4 linked regions of the Xenopus tropicalis genome follow. The protein of the gene in region 3 interacts with the protein of the main gene of each other region in a pairwise test. Links are inferred from orthologs where the notes say so. Each region holds a gene or a part of one and is shown on either strand. Other genes may lie near its edges. The genes, in order: plxnb3, plxnb2, arhgef11 and plxnb1.

Region 1 (3,807 bases), about 110 Mb from region 3:
GTCCAACTGAGCAGTTGTACAAAACCACTAAAAACAGAAAAAAAGAAGGTATACAGAACCACCATAAGAAAGAAGAGTTATATAGGCCCATTATGGGAAGAGTCATATAGAACCAATATGGGAAAGTAAGAGTCATACAGAGTCACTATGGGAAAGGAAGAGTCATACAGAGCCACTATGGGAAAGGAAGAGTCATACAATGCCACTATGGGAAATGAAGAGTCATACAGAGCCACTATGGAAAGGGAAGAGTCATACAGAGCCACTATGGGAAAGGAAGAGTCATACAGAGCCACTATGGGAAAGGAAGAGTCATACAGAGCCACTATGGGAAAGGAAGAGTCATACAGAGCTACTATGGGAAAGGAAGAGTCATACAGAGCCACTATGGGAAAGGGAAGAGTCATACAGAGCCACTATGGGAAAGGAAGAGTCATACAGAGCCACTATGGGAAAGGAAGAGTCATACAGAGCCACTATGGGAAAGGAAGAGTCATACAGAGCCACTATGGGAAAGGAAGAGTCATACAGAGCCCCTATGGGAAAGGAAGAGTCATACAGAGCCCCTATGGGAAAGGAAGAGTCATACAGAGCCACTATGGGAAAGGAAAAGTCATACAATGCCACTATGGGGAAATGAAGAGTCATACAGAGCTACTATGGGAAAGGAAGAGTCATACAGAGCCACTATGGGAAAGGAAGAGTCATACAGAGCCACTATGGGAAAGGGAAGAGTCATACAGAGCCACTATGGGAAAGGAAGAGTCATACAGAGCCACTATGGGAAAGGAAAAGTCATACAGAGCCACTATGGGAAAGGGAAGAGTCATACAGAGCCACTATGGGAAAGGAAGAGTCATACAATGCCACCAAGGGGAAGAAAGAGTTATACAGAGCCACTGTGGGAAAGGAGGAGTCAAATAAAGTGACTTGGTACTATGACAAATGTATGCAGAGCAACAGAAACAGAGACAGAGAGCCCCTTTGAGAATAAAGCAAGTGGACATACCCTGAATGTCTTCTTTATCATCCACTCGATGGCCATCGCCCGTCATAACATAAATGGTAACCTGATGCTCCAGCGTACGTAATGAATACTCAAACTATAAATATGATATAAAATATTTTGAATATATTATTATCCAGATTATCCACTATAACATAAAATGGTCACTTGCTCAATAATGGTTATTCAAAAGGTATGGATTAGGTCGAGCCAGGCACTCACACTTTGCCAAATCCCAAACTGAATCAAGGATTTGGCATATTCCGATTCACAATGTTACAGCCTTGTCCATCTATACAGTACTATGCTATTCCCTACCCACCTTGTGTGTCTGGCAGTGCACTTGAAAAACATCTTTTTCTCCAGTCACATTCTCAATTTGTGCAGGCAGCGTTGTTGTGGTGCCATGGGCATCAATCACACAGCTATAACCTAGAACCTCCTCCTGCAGGAAAGACAGAACAATTGACTGACCGACATGGCAAAATTTGGAGACACAAGTCTCAGGCATAGCTCCTTCACAGCCAAGTATTACTTGCTAGGGATGAGTCTTCAAAAGCATGCAAAAAGCAGACCCTGTGACTGCTGTGGAACCCAGAAAATTAGAGGGCCTATTGGAGCTACAATGTGGCAATTTAAAGTTAATAAACAGGCCATTCAAATCACACCACATAATTATTTGTTAAAGGAACAGGAAAGTAAATTCCATGTCCTATTTCCTCTGAAAAGCCGATCAAACATTCTAACATTTCAATTTTAATTTAGTTACTGGGGGACTGTGGTTGTTGGGGGTAATGGATGATATTCAGTTTATCTAAGACAGGGGTCCCAAAACTTTCTTACCCATGAGCCACAATCAAATGTAAAAAGAATTGGGAAGCAACATGAAAGCATGACAAAATATACCTGGGGTGCCAAATAAGGGCTGTGAATGGCTATTTGGCAGCCCCTATGTGGACAGGAGGCTCTGTTTTGCAGTACACCTGGTCCTTATGCAACTAAAACTTGCCTCCAAGCCAGAAATACAAAAATAAGCACCTTCTTTGAGGCCACTGGGAGCAACATTCAAAGCCTTGGTGAGAAATATGTTGCTTGGGAGCCACTGGTTGAAGACCACTGATCTGAAGAGCAATTAGCCTGTACATAACACCCTTTTGTCCATGGCTTTGGTTTATGTAAAAGTAAAGCCATTGCTGTTAACCCACCTTAAGTAGTTGTAAATTACGTCCAATAAGATCCAGTTCTCTCTCAACCCCAACAGGGATCAATGTCGACCCATCAACACTCTCTATTCTTGGGCAAGCATCAGGACCACCCAGCTGGAATCAAAGAGATGGGTAAGTGTACATATTATAAAGTTACCACATCTATAATGTGTTTATGTGCGCGCCAGCTACTTCTTACTCTTTGGTTGAATATGATCACTTGGTCTTGGCTGCAGTTTTGTGTATCATGAATGCAGCGATAATCATTCACGCACCAGTGGCATTCCCACTGGCTATTTACACATCCGGCACACCTACAGGCACAAATCATTTCATTAAACATTTACTTTAAATATCTATTTAGTTGAAAATCACAAAATCTGCAAATGCATCGTAAGTTTGGAACAGTCGATTGCACATGTTATAGAATGACCTAATTAGAAATTGGTTATAATCGAGTGCATGGGTGAGGACCTTCCTGTAATTCTGAGCTTTCTAGATAATGGATTTCCAGGTAAGGGATCCTGTACCCGCATCAATGACTAGTGCTTTCAATGAGCATGAGATGTGCCAGGAATAAAACATTCCCTATTTATTTCTCTAGTTTCCATTTTTGTGGTTATTATCTGGTTTAGTTGGCTCTGTTTTGCGCTGCTAGTTAATAATGAAATGATCAGAGTAGTGAGAAGCAGTGTTTCACAGGAGTCCGAATGCAACCGAATGTGAGGATCAGCTTCCTCATCTAATAACAAGGTGTATATATATTCAAAATATTGCTACCTTGGCATAAATTTCCCCTAAAACACACGTTGGGTTTATTTGCATCAGGCCCAGATTGAGATTCAAAACAGGCTCGGGCATTTCCAGTGCACAAGGTCCAAACTGACCCCACCAGCCGAAAAATTAGTGACTGCCTATGGCGTCTTACAGCAGCCCCGAATCCATGGATTGCCAGTCCGGGCCTGATCTGCAAATAGTTTGCCCCACAGCTTCACTTATAGTGACTCTGTGCAAACCCAGACCATGGTCCCATCCATTGAGAACATGTGAATGGAACACTGTGTGTGACTTAGTTGCAAAATCCATTTACTGAAACAAGCTCTTGTATATGCTGGTATTCCCTGGGGGCGTCAGTTACTCTTGCACACCTCACTTCCCTTCTCTGAATAGAAAATTACAGGACTGACGTAGCTCAGTGGCTCAGTGGCTTCACACAGGTTTTTGAAAACAGCCAATCAGATCATACTGACATATATGTATGGAGACTAGGGATGCACCAAATCCAGGATTCAGCCTTTTTTGGCAAGATTTGGCCAAATCCATGCTCCTGGCAAACTGAATCCTTAAAATGATGTGGCTTGACATGTAAATACAGAAGTTAAAAATTTTTTTGTGCAAATTAGGATTCGGTTCAGTTCAGTATCCGGCCAAATTTCTCACGAAGGATCCAGGGTTCAGACGAAAAAGTGGATTTGACGCACCGCTAATGGAATATAAATAGTATAACTAGTAGACATGTAAGTGCATTGATGTCTATAAAGAACATCTACAGGGTCAAGCAATAAAGTGGCTCCAACTCATATGTTTACATGGAAA
Region 2 (4,417 bases), on a different chromosome or scaffold from region 3:
TTGGAGGGGAAGGCCAATTAATAGGGAGTTACAGTAGTCCAGGCGAGATATTATAAGAGTGTGAATAAGAATTTTGGCAGCATCTTGGGTGATAAATGATCGTATTTTGGAGATATTTCTTAGGTGAAAGTGACATGATTTGATAAGTGATTGGATATGAGGAGTGAAGGACAGGGCAGAATCAAGGATAACCCCAAGGCACCGGGCCTGGGAAGATGGGGTGATGGTAGAATTGTTAACCTTTATAGATACCTCGGGAACAATGTGGGCATTGGATGGGGGAAAGAGAACCAGTTCAGTCTTAGAGAGGTTTAGTTTAAGGTAACGTTGGGACATCCAAGTGGATATAGCGGCCAGGCAGGAAGAGACGCGAGTTAGAAGCTCTGGGTTGAGATCAGGAGAGGAAAGATATATCTGAGTATCATCAGCATAGAGGTGGTAGTGAAAGCCAAAAGAATTGATTAGTTTGCCAAGTGAGGAGGTATAGAGAGAAAATAGTAAGGGGCCCAGGACAGAGCCTTGGGAAACTCCGACAGAAAGAGGCAGGGGAGAAGATGATTCCCCATTGTAAGAGACACTGAAGGATCGATCTGAGAGATAAGATGAAAACCAGGATAAGGCAGTGTCACGAAGGCCAAGAGAGCAGAGAGTCTGGAGGAGAAGAGGGTGATCTACAGTGTCAAAAGCAGCAGAGAGATCGAGAAGTATTAGTAACGAGTAGTGTTTTTTGGCTTTAGCCGATAGGAGGTCATTTGTTAGTCGGGTTAGCGCAGTTTCGGTGGAGTGTTGTTGTCTAAAACCAGATTGTAGGGGATCCAGGAGGTTTTGTTATAGAGGAATAGCATCAGTCGGTTGTAAACTAGGCACTCAAGCAGTTTGGAGATGAATGGGGGCAGAGAGATCTCCCCGAAATGCCATCCCATCGGCTAGAATGTAAATCGCTGGTGGGATGGCATACCCGGCGCCGCGATTTGCCGGGTCGCTGAAGTTTCCTCTCAAGGCAACTTCGGCAAATTGAGGCGCCGCGTATGCCATCCCACCAGCAATTTACATTCTAGCTGGTGGGATGGTGACTAATCTCTCGGTGTGTCACAGCCCCTAAAAAGACATTTACAATTATTTTGACGTGCAGCTTTATCCTTATATAAATGTATGATGGGGTTCCTTTGAAAGGGAGTATTTTCTAACACAAACTCATTAATGATAGACTATTTGCCATTGGCAAAAGCAGTGAAAATGAGGCGAATAAGTCGGAGCGCAATGCCAGTTCAGGGCCATAGGTTGGATATATTTAGAACAGGCTATTGTAGCTATTGAAAAAGAATGCCTGTTGGAATTCCATCAAAGCCAGTCATAGCCCATGGCTATTGCCTAGTGGCCAGTGAAATTCCTTCGCACTCCTCCCAATCCAGTGCCTCTGGCACCCCCTCCCATTCCTTGAGAGCTCCCAGGCAGTCTGAAATCCGATCCTCCGCAGCCGGCTCAGAGGGGAGGACTCTCTCCCTGTTATTCTGCCTTTTTTTTCCTGCTTCCTGTTTCTGGTATTGTGCTGGGGAGCGGATGTGCGCAGCGCCCACAGGTGTGTCTCCTCTCGGCGCTCAGTGCTAGGGAGTCGGCTGGGAAGGACTGTGCGAGGCTGATATGGACACAGTGAGGGCCGGGGGGTCGGGGCGCGGAGCCGCACTACATTTCTCTCAGCGTCTCCATTAAGTCCGGGAAAGCCGCGGGAAGCGGAGCCTAGCAGGAGACTTGTTGGGTGAGTTCCTCCCAAATTCCGCTCTTATTTTTAGGCTATCTTGTCATAGCACCTGTTGGCCGGAGAGTGGGGCAGCGCTGTGCTGGACATTCTCCACTCAGTCACCTTCCTTCCAGCTCATCTGTGCTAAGTTTTAGCGCTGGGTGTCTGGGCGGGGGGAGTGGCCGGGCTCCTTTGGACTGGGGATTAGCGATCAGTCTTATCAAAGTGACCCCTTCCAGCTTTAATGGAAACCTGTGAACTTGGGAAGGAGGTAAGAGGCGCTGTCCCACCCGCAGGGTTCTGTGGGAGCGGGAGTAGCATGGGGTGCCACAGACTGGGAGCTCCTTTCCCACGGTTACATCCACGCACCACACCACCTGCCTTGGGAGTTACCTGATTCATAAAATCTATTTCAGGAATGTGCTGACACTTCTGCTTTGTTTCAAATAATAGCAAAGTCAATGTACAGTTGTTTGCTCTTCAGCTTAGGATCATTTTAGTTCAGGCTTGTTCATACTGGATATTGCATGGCTGCTATTGTTTGTACAGTAGAGAAACATCAGTGGCTTGTAGAAGCTGGGATTGTATGGAAGGAACAGCAGACTAAAATGTGATAGAACAGCTGTTTATTTGCAGAGAGATAGATACAAATGATCATGCAGCTAGTGTTTATAGACTTCATTATGTGTTATTTATTGGGATCACTTCATTTAAAACACATCTGCTAATTCTCTGCATGTTATTGCTATTGACATGATGGCTTTGTATTGTTAATTCTTAGAATGAACTCCATGTTCCAGTTTAACCCTACAAGTTGGAGCTTGCCCCTGTCTGGCAGAAGCTACAGCTCAAATTGCTGTCATTGCATTGAGCATTCTGACAGTAGCTAACAAGTAAGATTAAGTTTGATGTCCTGGAAAGGTTGGGGACTACTGATTCCTTGATTCACTGCTGTTCTCTTGTTTGCAGATGTTTCATGCAGGCTAACGGCTAACAGGATTGCTGTTAGGTTTTATAATGTAACATTTTGTGAGATGTGTAAAAGCTTGGGCTCATGTTGTCCATTCTTTGTGTTGCAGGTTCCCATTTTTTATGTTTCTGGTGGTTTATTGGTTTCAAGTAAATACAGTTAATGGAATTAAACAGTAAATATTTGTTTGTGTTGAGTGTATAGGGTGTTCCTAAATGTAGCAGCAAGGGAAGTTGCAGGCCTTTGTGGCCCTTTTCTTGCTTTTTGAATGTGCTGTGTATGCATCTTCACTGTTTTACACTTAACAAATATTGTTTGGCCTAGCACTGGATGTCCAAATGGCAAATTTGTTTGGGTTCACCATAATCTATAACCTTACTATCTTAGGCCATTTAGTTGTCCTTGCAGTTACCTGCTCACCAGCAGTAATTATGCAATTGTGTCTCGTATACATGGTTTTGAGGATTATTATTGCATGATATTCTATGTAGACATATGAAATGTAACTAGGCACTTTTAAAAATAAGGGTTCTGTTGTGTTGTTTGAAGACATTCTTGCAGACGGTCTGAGCTGTCACAGGGTGACATGAATAGGCCTTATGGCAGCATTAGCATGGTAAAGTAAATACTCTATAGATAGTGCTTTCTTTTAGTTTCACTTTGGGTGGTGAGGAAGAACAGTAGTTGATCATTACATGAGTGTGGGCTGAAAGCTCTATTTTCAGAAGTCCAGTATCCAAATCATGAATGCAGGCGCAAACACAGAACACAATAAATCAGTTCTACAGTGCAGTTACATTTTGTACTAAACTATTAATGCAAATACCAAAAACTGAATTACAAAGTGGACATTTCCTATATATGAACACACTGTACACAAAGTACCATCAGGCTTTTATGTCATTTTATGTTTATTGAAGATTTAAGGCATCACACAGAAGCACTGTTTAAAGCAGTGATCCCCAACCAGTGACTCAAGAGCAGCATGTTGCTCTCAGTGCCCCTAAACCAGGTAGTTATTTTTGAATTCCTGACTTGGTGGCAAGTTTTGGTTGAATAAAAACAAGATTTACTACCAAATAAATCCTCCTGTAAGCTGAGTGTGTGCTAGAGGCTACCTAATAGCCTGTCTTAGCCCTTATCTGGCCCTCCATGAACTGATGCTTGTGTTGCTGTCTAAAGCTGGCCATACACGTGGCGATCTGACGATGTTTCGTGCGACCAACGGTCGCACGAAACATCGTCAGATCCGCCACACACCATTCAGGGCTGAATCGGCAGGTAAGGAGGTAGAAACAATAGGATTTCTACCTCCTTCTGCCGATTCAGCGCTGAAGGGAGAATTTTGGTCAGGCGCCTTCTATGGCGCCCGATCAAAATTTTCAAACTGGTCCGATCGGCGAGTCGACGATATCAGCAGCTTCCTGCGGTTTCGTACGATATTATCGGTGCGTGTATGGCCACCTTAAGTCTTTTTGCATTTGACTGTGGCTCATGAGTAAGAAAGGTTGGGGACTCCTGGTTTAAAGCTAAGGTTCTTTATCAAGCCTGTAAATTAACGTTGGCCCCATGCATAGATGACTCAATTATTTAAGACAAAATGTTCACTGAACACAAACTGTTGTGACTATTTAAGGGGAACTTCATACAATATTTTTTCATAATTAAAGAGAAATGTTATTTCAAGAAACCTTTAGAGTTACCTGTAA
Region 3 (3,807 bases):
AAGTACAAGAGGAGGGCTTCTGTTTAATGGCGGATAAATAGTACACAGCCCCCTAATTGTAAACTGGGTATTAAAGCTCTGCAGTGTCATTAACATTTTAATATAAACAATCATGAAAAAGCTTAAGTGCCCTTTTATAAACCAGGAGGAGAGGGCAGACAGGCTTGTTATCTGGTTATACCTCTGTCATGTAATATCCATGGTCGTAGTCCTCTTCTGGGCAGATTATTGTAGACTTCATGGGATCTGATACCTGGAAAAAATAAGATGATAAAATATTCAGACCCGATTTCCTCTGATAATTTATATTTAATCCTGGCTAAAGGAAAGTAATGTAAATATTTCCTGTGTTCAGGACAGGGTTCCTAGTGCCCTGATGTCCGATCCACTCTTGTAAGGTCATTATAACGAGCTGAATAAATACATTTGTTCTCACCAATATAATTATCAAAATGGAGGGGGTCTTAACCAGATTTCTCCCCCAGAATCCTTTGGTAACATAAACTATACCTCCCAGAAAACACATTACACTATATCAGATGTATCCCAACTTACCTGCTCAGATGTGGCAATAAAGGCAGTGTCTGAGCCCTGCCGCCGATGATGGTGGTGGTGATAGTGGTGGTGAAACAGTTTAGTAGGGATGATTGGAGAGGTGTGGGAGCTGTCCATTCCGAGGTCCGACAGGACAGAATTCCGATTCATGGAATACTGTTAAAAGAATAAGGAACAGAACATTACGTACCCACAGGCAAGACATTTTGCTAACAGATTCCATGGAACAGATCTGTGTGGACCCAGCTCTGTACAAGCCCAGTAATGCACTATGCTGACAAGCAATTATGGCTGCTACCTTTAATGTATTTATGGCATATAATAAGCTAAACACTCCCACTTCAAGATAAAAATGAATGTAAGGTTAATGTAAATATGCATCCTTGTTATATACAAGTAGTTCCTTATCATTTCCTGACATACGGAAAGGTTAAGTTACCCTTTACACACAGAGGAGAGAAATAAGCACACTCCATTCCTCCATAAAAAGGGAGCTAATGGATGGCGGCTGCCAGTATCACCTCACTCAACGATGATATCCGTTCAGTTCCGGAATCCAGACCGCTGTCTCCATCCTGGGAATCAACAGACAAGCGACCTTAAAAAAAAAAAAAAAAAAGCTTAGGTTAAGAAAAGATATACGTCTAATGAAGCTCAACTTTCTGTCCAACTAAACCTGACCTAACATCTAGGTGATTTATAGAAAGAGGTAAAAAATGCTAGCGGAAAAAAATCCTTCCCCACTCCAAAAGGCCAATTGGACCAGCCCCATGACTGTCTTTATACTGAGAGGGCTCATTTCAGTAATCCAACCCTTTCTTGAAGCTATCCAATATAACTGCTATCCCCTGTTTCAGCATAAACCAAATTAAACGTCATCTTTGGGAATAAGCCGGCCTCATTGTACAGCCATCTACCCAAACAAACTCACCTTCTTTGACTTTGTACCCCAAAGAGCTGCAGTCACTGTATGAGCGCAACAAATCCTGCAACACAGATCAACGCACCTGTTAATTTTCTATCCATAGGCGAAAAGCATATTTAGTCAATATGGAGGAACTACCAGTAGATGGCACTGCTCTCACAGACAATTGGGCAAGAGGGTCATTTGTTGAGCTGGATAAAAAGGGGGTAATGTCTTCAGAATTCTAACCCCCATATGTAATAAAAGGTGCTAAGTTTGCCCAGAAGCATTAACCTATAGCAACCAAGAAAATGTTTGCTTTTAAACAGGTGACCAGTATATGCTTCCAGCTGACTGGTTGCTATGGGTTACTGCTCCTGGGCAAACTTAGTGCCTTTTATTACATAACCAATATTACATGATATTCCACATTGTTATGGGGTATGAGTGTAATGTGGGAAACAAAGTTTTACTTCTTTAGAAGTTATTGGCACTTTTTATGCCACCATGGGGAAAGCTATTTTCTGGTACTCACCTGCCTCACTATTTACATTCTGGCAGTCACAAGCCTGTCTTATGGCAGGGATTTAGGCTTAAACCACAAGCGGCTGATTCTCGCCTGCATTTATCAGCAGATCCCCTGCCATCTCTCTCCTGTTTCTGACCCAGAGGCATTGTGTCAGCCTGGTTGAAGACACACGGAGCAGATTTTGGTGCTGAAATGCATAAGTATGCATTTTCCCATTGAAGTCCGCTCTGTGTGGCCGACACAATGTCCCTGGATGCAGGCAGAGGAAGAGCGTGGATGACAGTGGAGGGGCAATTTCTCAGTTGGTGCTCATATGCCGGACTGAGATACAGCCCAGTGTGGCATTAGTCTTAGATTTACTCTTGGGATCAATAACCTTTATCTGAAGGGCTCATAAACATGGAGTGCACTTGGGCTAGGAATGCCTAGGGACTCAGCAATGAGAGTGAAATAGATAAGGAGGCTTAGCTGAAGCACCGTACACATTAATAATAAGAAACAGATATAATGGTAAAGTCTCCATTCAGTCTGCTCTGTCAGTGAGACAAAGGGCTGGCCCAGGACGGGTAACTAGGTGTTGCATAAAAAGGCCAGATTACATTGTAGTTATGGGTCTGAGCCAATGGAGTTAAATTATCAATATTATTACCATGTCAAAATGGCCAACTACCAACCAACTCCGCTTTGGAAGCAAAGATTAGTTTCAGGTATTATTAATAAGCCAAAATGGCCAACTTGAACGGATAAAAAGAGTTTTAGGTATCACTACATCATCATCCTTTTTCGTTCCTGTAGCGTTTTACTTGGGGGTGCCTGGGGAGTAGTTCATGCAGTAAAAATGTTATGTACTTACCCCAGTACCAGGGATTTCTTGCCTTATCTTATGCTGAAGCTGATGCACCCTTTTCCTGGCCCTCTCTATCTGCTCCTGCAGGCTGGAGTTAGGGCTTTTGTTATACACATCACACAGATTCTGCCAAGAGATAGAATGATCTATTAATCTGAGCCTTCTACATGCCAACCACATAGCACCCAATGTTGCCAAGCAGCCCCACTGTCACTCTATTTAGAGTTACAATATCACGTGTTCTTTTCAATAGATTCCATTTACTGCCACTAGGTGGAGCGTGCAGGGAAAACTCACAGCGAGAAATAACTCAGTTAAAATCCTTGGAAAACAGCACTGCTGCAAAGCAATCTTTCCTGTTCCAAAGTCCAGTTTAGCACTATGCCTGTAATACAAGGTTCCCTTGCAAGACCCTACCTGTAGATCCGCTTCCTCCTGCTTTAACATGTTCCAAAGGATTTCCGTGGCGTGCTTTTGGAAATCGGGGTCCTAAAGAAGTGATCACAACGAAATTCCATCACACTGTGTCTTATATAGCTGACAGGGTAGAACTTAATGGGAGCAGGGACATGGCACATTACCTGTAGCGGTTTAGGTCCTGTGATGTGATGCATCTGGGGCAAAGGTGGAGGCGGAGGAGGTGGCATTGGCAACACTGATATGTTACGAGGTGACACAGAGGTGCTCAGGTCTTGCGGATACCCAGATATGCCCATGGATGGAGGCGGAGAACCCAGGAGAGTGAGAGCAACATAAGCGCCGGCTGTTGGATTGAAACATCAGCACAACAGGGGTTAAATATAAAGATATATATGAAACCACCTTTAACTAATATTCCCCCTTGGGACTTGGCACAGGGAACTTTAACCTGTCCTGGTCAAAAAAGGAGACTCACAGACGTGTGCAAGGCATTTTGGGAATTGAAGTCTGGGCCACAGGAGAGCTAACTATGGCAACATAGTTTGAATGGTC
Region 4 (3,807 bases), on a different chromosome or scaffold from region 3:
TGTGGTCCCTATCATTACATATAAACAGAATGCACCTTATCTTTTAGAGAGGTTAAGGAAGGGGATTTTTTTTAGCCCTCAAACTGCCAGTTCAGATACTGAGGGGGAACATGCATGTACTAACATAAATATAAATCCCTTACCCACTGGTTAGGGGGGATACAGTCCCAGTAATGCAGTAGGTTCTAGGTGTTCTAGGTGCTACAAGCAGAAGACCTCCCTGTGCAAAGTCTCACCTTGTAATGTTGCAATGTGTTCACTCTTTTCCACGACCCATGCACCACTGACGTCAGATCTTCATCGGAAAGTATCAGATGACCGGCCAACCCTGATCTCCATTCTGCCAGGGGGAACGGGAGGAAAGGGTGTAAGGATGGTTATAAGCTGGTAACTGTTGGGACAGCTAGGAAAACAAATCCCCCTCCCGATATCAGGGCTGTGGAGTTGGTACATAAATCCTTTGACTCTGACTTCAAATCCAGGTACCTAAAATTGCTTCCGACTCCGACTTGGCAACTCTGACTCCATAGCTCTGCCAGATATACCATTTCTCTCTGCTTTCAAGTTGATGGCTGTAAGAGGGCGGCTATCAAAGGCTGAAGGCATTATTTTATATAAATAACGGTGCCACTCATAGTCTGTCTTGCCCTGGGTTCCAGCACTACTAAAGATTTCCCCTCCCTATGGACAACCTGACTTACCCAAGTCTAGCGCTTCGGGGTTTGGTCGATTACAGTACGGGGTTCCCTTGTATATCTGGTCAAGGATCTTTTCTTTCACTTGAGTGATGGTGTCGCAGTCGAGCAATTTCACCGGCAACCCTTGTGCTTCCTCTTCACAAGTGATGCCCGTGTTGGTTTGCATGATTGCATTCAGCGTCTGGGAAGGAATAATGTTTAAGTGCACCCAAAATGTCATCTACGTACCACTGGAAAAATTCACTATTTTACTCTGAACTAGCAACTTATAGGAGCCAACCAGCTAGAAGCTCAGACCAATCATCTGACGTAACATACATGAAAACAAAAATATGCAAAGGAATAGAAATAATGACCCCCTTCCCCCGCTGTTTATTAATTCCCCACAAGTGTAAGTGACATAAGGAATTAACTTTATGCGGATACTCAGGGAATTTAGTGACCTTGCTGAGAAGACCATGTTGGATTAGACACTTATCTATGGCCACCATCAGAATAGATTTGTGACTTAAGGCCCAATAAAACGATTGGGACAAAGGGGACAAGATACTGCTTACCATGGCCCCTACTTTGAGCACAGAGCACCCTTAATGTCCACAATAGGAAGCCACCCCAACAACTCACCAGAGTTTTGTATTCTACATCATCCCTCAGGAGGCGGTTGTCATTCAGAGTGTACTTAGCCTTCCCCGTCACACAGTCCACTGGTCCTTTATCCACCTGGTGCTTTATCCCACGGAACAACATATAAAGTGGTTCTCCAGCTGAATCCTGCCATAAGAATACAACAGTGACTAAGGTGACCTTGCCAATACACAGCTTATCAACTTGTAGATAGTGTTTGTAAACATTAAAAGTGCAATATTGTCCGGACCCCTGTGGGAAGGTGGAATCTCAGAGTTAAGGTCCCCATACACTGGCAGATCCGCTCGCTTGGCATACGGGTGGGTGATATCGGTAGAATCCAGTGTAATTCGATCGTTTGGCCCTGGGTCCAAACGATCGAATTATAATGATGGGCATAGGTAAAGTCGGTCCGGCACCGTATCAGGCCAGATATCGGTCGGGCAGGCCCGTCGGAAGTGCCCATACACGGGACCGATATCGGCAGCTACTATCGGCCCGTGTATGGGGACCTTTACAAAGTAGAACTGGTACTCAATCTACCAAAAGATAAAGTATGTATCCAATACCTAGCACTCGCTACTTACCCTCACAAACGTATATAGACAGATGGACATCCAGTTGGTCAGCAGCTTCTCCACCACTGTCTCTGTCCTAGAACAAAGAGGTCCATAGATAAGAACATCAGAAACCCAACCAGTCTGTCTTCTCTAAGTATTGCATAACCTAAATGGGTAACCTTTCTTTATCTAGACTAATACATCATTTTTACTCGGCAGAGGAACTACCAAAGCCTTGTGTCTTCTGGATCGCTATAGTGGGAAACAGCATCATAAGACAAAAGTACAAAGTATTCCAGTCTCTACCTTCTAAGCATCAGCTTTGGGTTCTTGGCCACATACTGTTCCACCAGATCATTCAGGAGGGTCTTTAAGATGTCAGTGAAGTATTCCAGCTTCCCATGCAGAGATACAGTTAGGAGAGATGCCACGTAGGCACGGTCTCTTGCTGAAAATGTGCGTTGGCTTTCCAGGGTGTGAATAAACTAAAATATAAATTGAAGATTAAATTGGAATAAATTAGCAGAGCGTAATGAAACTAAATGATACCCAGGAGAGAGTAACGCTTGCATACCTTGGTAAGAAAGAGCTTGCTGTTCAGAAGGTTGGAGAGCTGGACCAAGCCCTGTTCTACTGTCTGGCGCCGGCCTTCTGGGACATCCAAGTCTCTCTGCAATGGCGACTCGCGGTGACCAGGGAAGAAAATCCTCTCTGCGTATGATTTGTAATCCAGGAATGGGATCCCGGTGCCCACCAAGTCACTTGTAAGGTCCATCATCTCTGTCATCAAGTCTACAAGAGAGAAGCAGTCACAGCATTGTCACTTACACTTATTATCTAAGTAAGCTTGGCTATAGCAACAAGGAGGGAAAACAAAAACCCACTTCCCAAACCATCAATGTGTATATTTGGATTCCTATGTGATGGCTGCCATCATTCATACATGACAATCTGCTTAGGACTCAGAAGAGAAGTGCAGCCGATTCCTGCCCACTAGGCCACGATAAAGATATGGATCAGCTAAGAGACCCAACATGGTCAGTCTTTCACTATGTGTAGCTGCACATTTACAGAGAAGGAATGGCCTCTATACATCAGGGGTCCCAAACCTTCCTTACTCGTGAGCCACAGTCAAATATAAAAAGACTTGGGGAGCAACACAAGCACCATAAAAGTTCATGGAGGAGCCAAATAAGGGCTGTGATTGGCTATTAGGGGCCTCTATGCACCCTATCAGCTTACAGGGGCTTTATTTGGTAGGAAATCTTGTTTTTATTCAACCAAAACTTGCTCAGAAATAACTCCCTGGTTTGGGGGCACTGAGAGCAACATCCAAGGGGTTGGGGAGCAACATGTTGCCCCTGAGCCACTATTTGGGGATCACTGCTATACATGGATGCTACTAAAGCATGAGATCGAGATCCACTATAGGCACATAGGAAACTAAGAAGATGTCTAGCTGTATATCAACTTTCAAAATTGAAACACTAAGCTCCAGTATATTTTAGATTCTGTCAATTTGTTGGAAATATTTTTACAATATATACAGCTCCATGCTAGAGATATTCATTTCACCCTAATAACTATGAGCAGTGCCGGCCTATCATGTTAGTCTGTACCTGTGAATTCCTTCTTGCAGCGATCTCTGACACTAGTTTCCAGGTTCTCCAATTGGATTTGGACTTTCTTGTAATCCCGCAGGGCCTGCTTGCTCTTCCGCCTGGAAAAGAAAACCCTGAATATTTAGATAATTTGTTCCGTTACCATGACAGTGCTAAAGACTTACTATGGCCCTAATAAGGCCATTCTAAATCAACTTTGCAGTTGGTCTTCATTATTTATATAACATATTTTTCTATTCAGGTCCTCTCCTAGAAATAATTTAGTCTCTCATTCAAACCACTCCCCAGTTGCTAAGGTAATTT

The links.
Region 1: the proteins of arhgef11 (region 3) and plxnb3 interact in a two-hybrid assay, tested with the Homo sapiens proteins (2 studies listed by BioGRID and IntAct). The link is inferred for Xenopus tropicalis from reciprocal best matches to the Homo sapiens genes ARHGEF11 and PLXNB3.
Region 2: the proteins of arhgef11 (region 3) and plxnb2 interact in a two-hybrid assay, tested with the Homo sapiens proteins (2 studies listed by BioGRID). The link is inferred for Xenopus tropicalis from reciprocal best matches to the Homo sapiens genes ARHGEF11 and PLXNB2.
Region 4: the proteins of arhgef11 (region 3) and plxnb1 interact in a two-hybrid assay, tested with the Homo sapiens proteins (2 studies listed by BioGRID). The link is inferred for Xenopus tropicalis from reciprocal best matches to the Homo sapiens genes ARHGEF11 and PLXNB1.

The regions. Positions count from the first base shown.
Region 1 is NC_030684.2:23,786,840-23,790,646, reverse strand, and holds part of plxnb3 (plexin-B3), read right to left. Parts: intron 2,526-3,807; coding exon 2,411-2,525; intron 2,326-2,410; coding exon 2,212-2,325; intron 1,452-2,211; coding exon 1,329-1,451; intron 1,104-1,328; coding exon 1,010-1,103; intron 28-1,009; coding exon 1-27. UniProt on the Homo sapiens protein: Receptor for SEMA5A that plays a role in axon guidance, invasive growth and cell migration. Stimulates neurite outgrowth and mediates Ca(2+)/Mg(2+)-dependent cell aggregation.
Region 2 is NC_030679.2:71,409,265-71,413,681, forward strand, and holds the start of plxnb2 (plexin-B2), read left to right. Parts: upstream 1-1,444; 5' UTR 1,445-1,756; intron 1,757-4,417.
Region 3 is NC_030684.2:131,858,073-131,861,879, forward strand, and holds part of arhgef11 (rho guanine nucleotide exchange factor 11), read right to left. Parts: intron 3,599-3,807; coding exon 3,417-3,598; intron 3,325-3,416; coding exon 3,253-3,324; intron 2,962-3,252; coding exon 2,842-2,961; intron 1,542-2,841; coding exon 1,487-1,541; intron 1,154-1,486; coding exon 1,077-1,153; intron 712-1,076; coding exon 556-711; intron 254-555; coding exon 182-253; intron 1-181. UniProt on the Homo sapiens protein: May play a role in the regulation of RhoA GTPase by guanine nucleotide-binding alpha-12 (GNA12) and alpha-13 (GNA13). Acts as guanine nucleotide exchange factor (GEF) for RhoA GTPase and may act as GTPase-activating protein (GAP) for GNA12 and GNA13.
Region 4 is NC_030680.2:139,214,263-139,218,069, forward strand, and holds part of plxnb1 (plexin-B1), read right to left. Parts: intron 3,603-3,807; coding exon 3,502-3,602; intron 2,675-3,501; coding exon 2,457-2,674; intron 2,368-2,456; coding exon 2,189-2,367; intron 1,977-2,188; coding exon 1,910-1,976; intron 1,470-1,909; coding exon 1,323-1,469; intron 880-1,322; coding exon 702-879; intron 341-701; coding exon 237-340; intron 1-236. UniProt on the Homo sapiens protein: Receptor for SEMA4D. Plays a role in GABAergic synapse development. Mediates SEMA4A- and SEMA4D-dependent inhibitory synapse development. Plays a role in RHOA activation and subsequent changes of the actin cytoskeleton.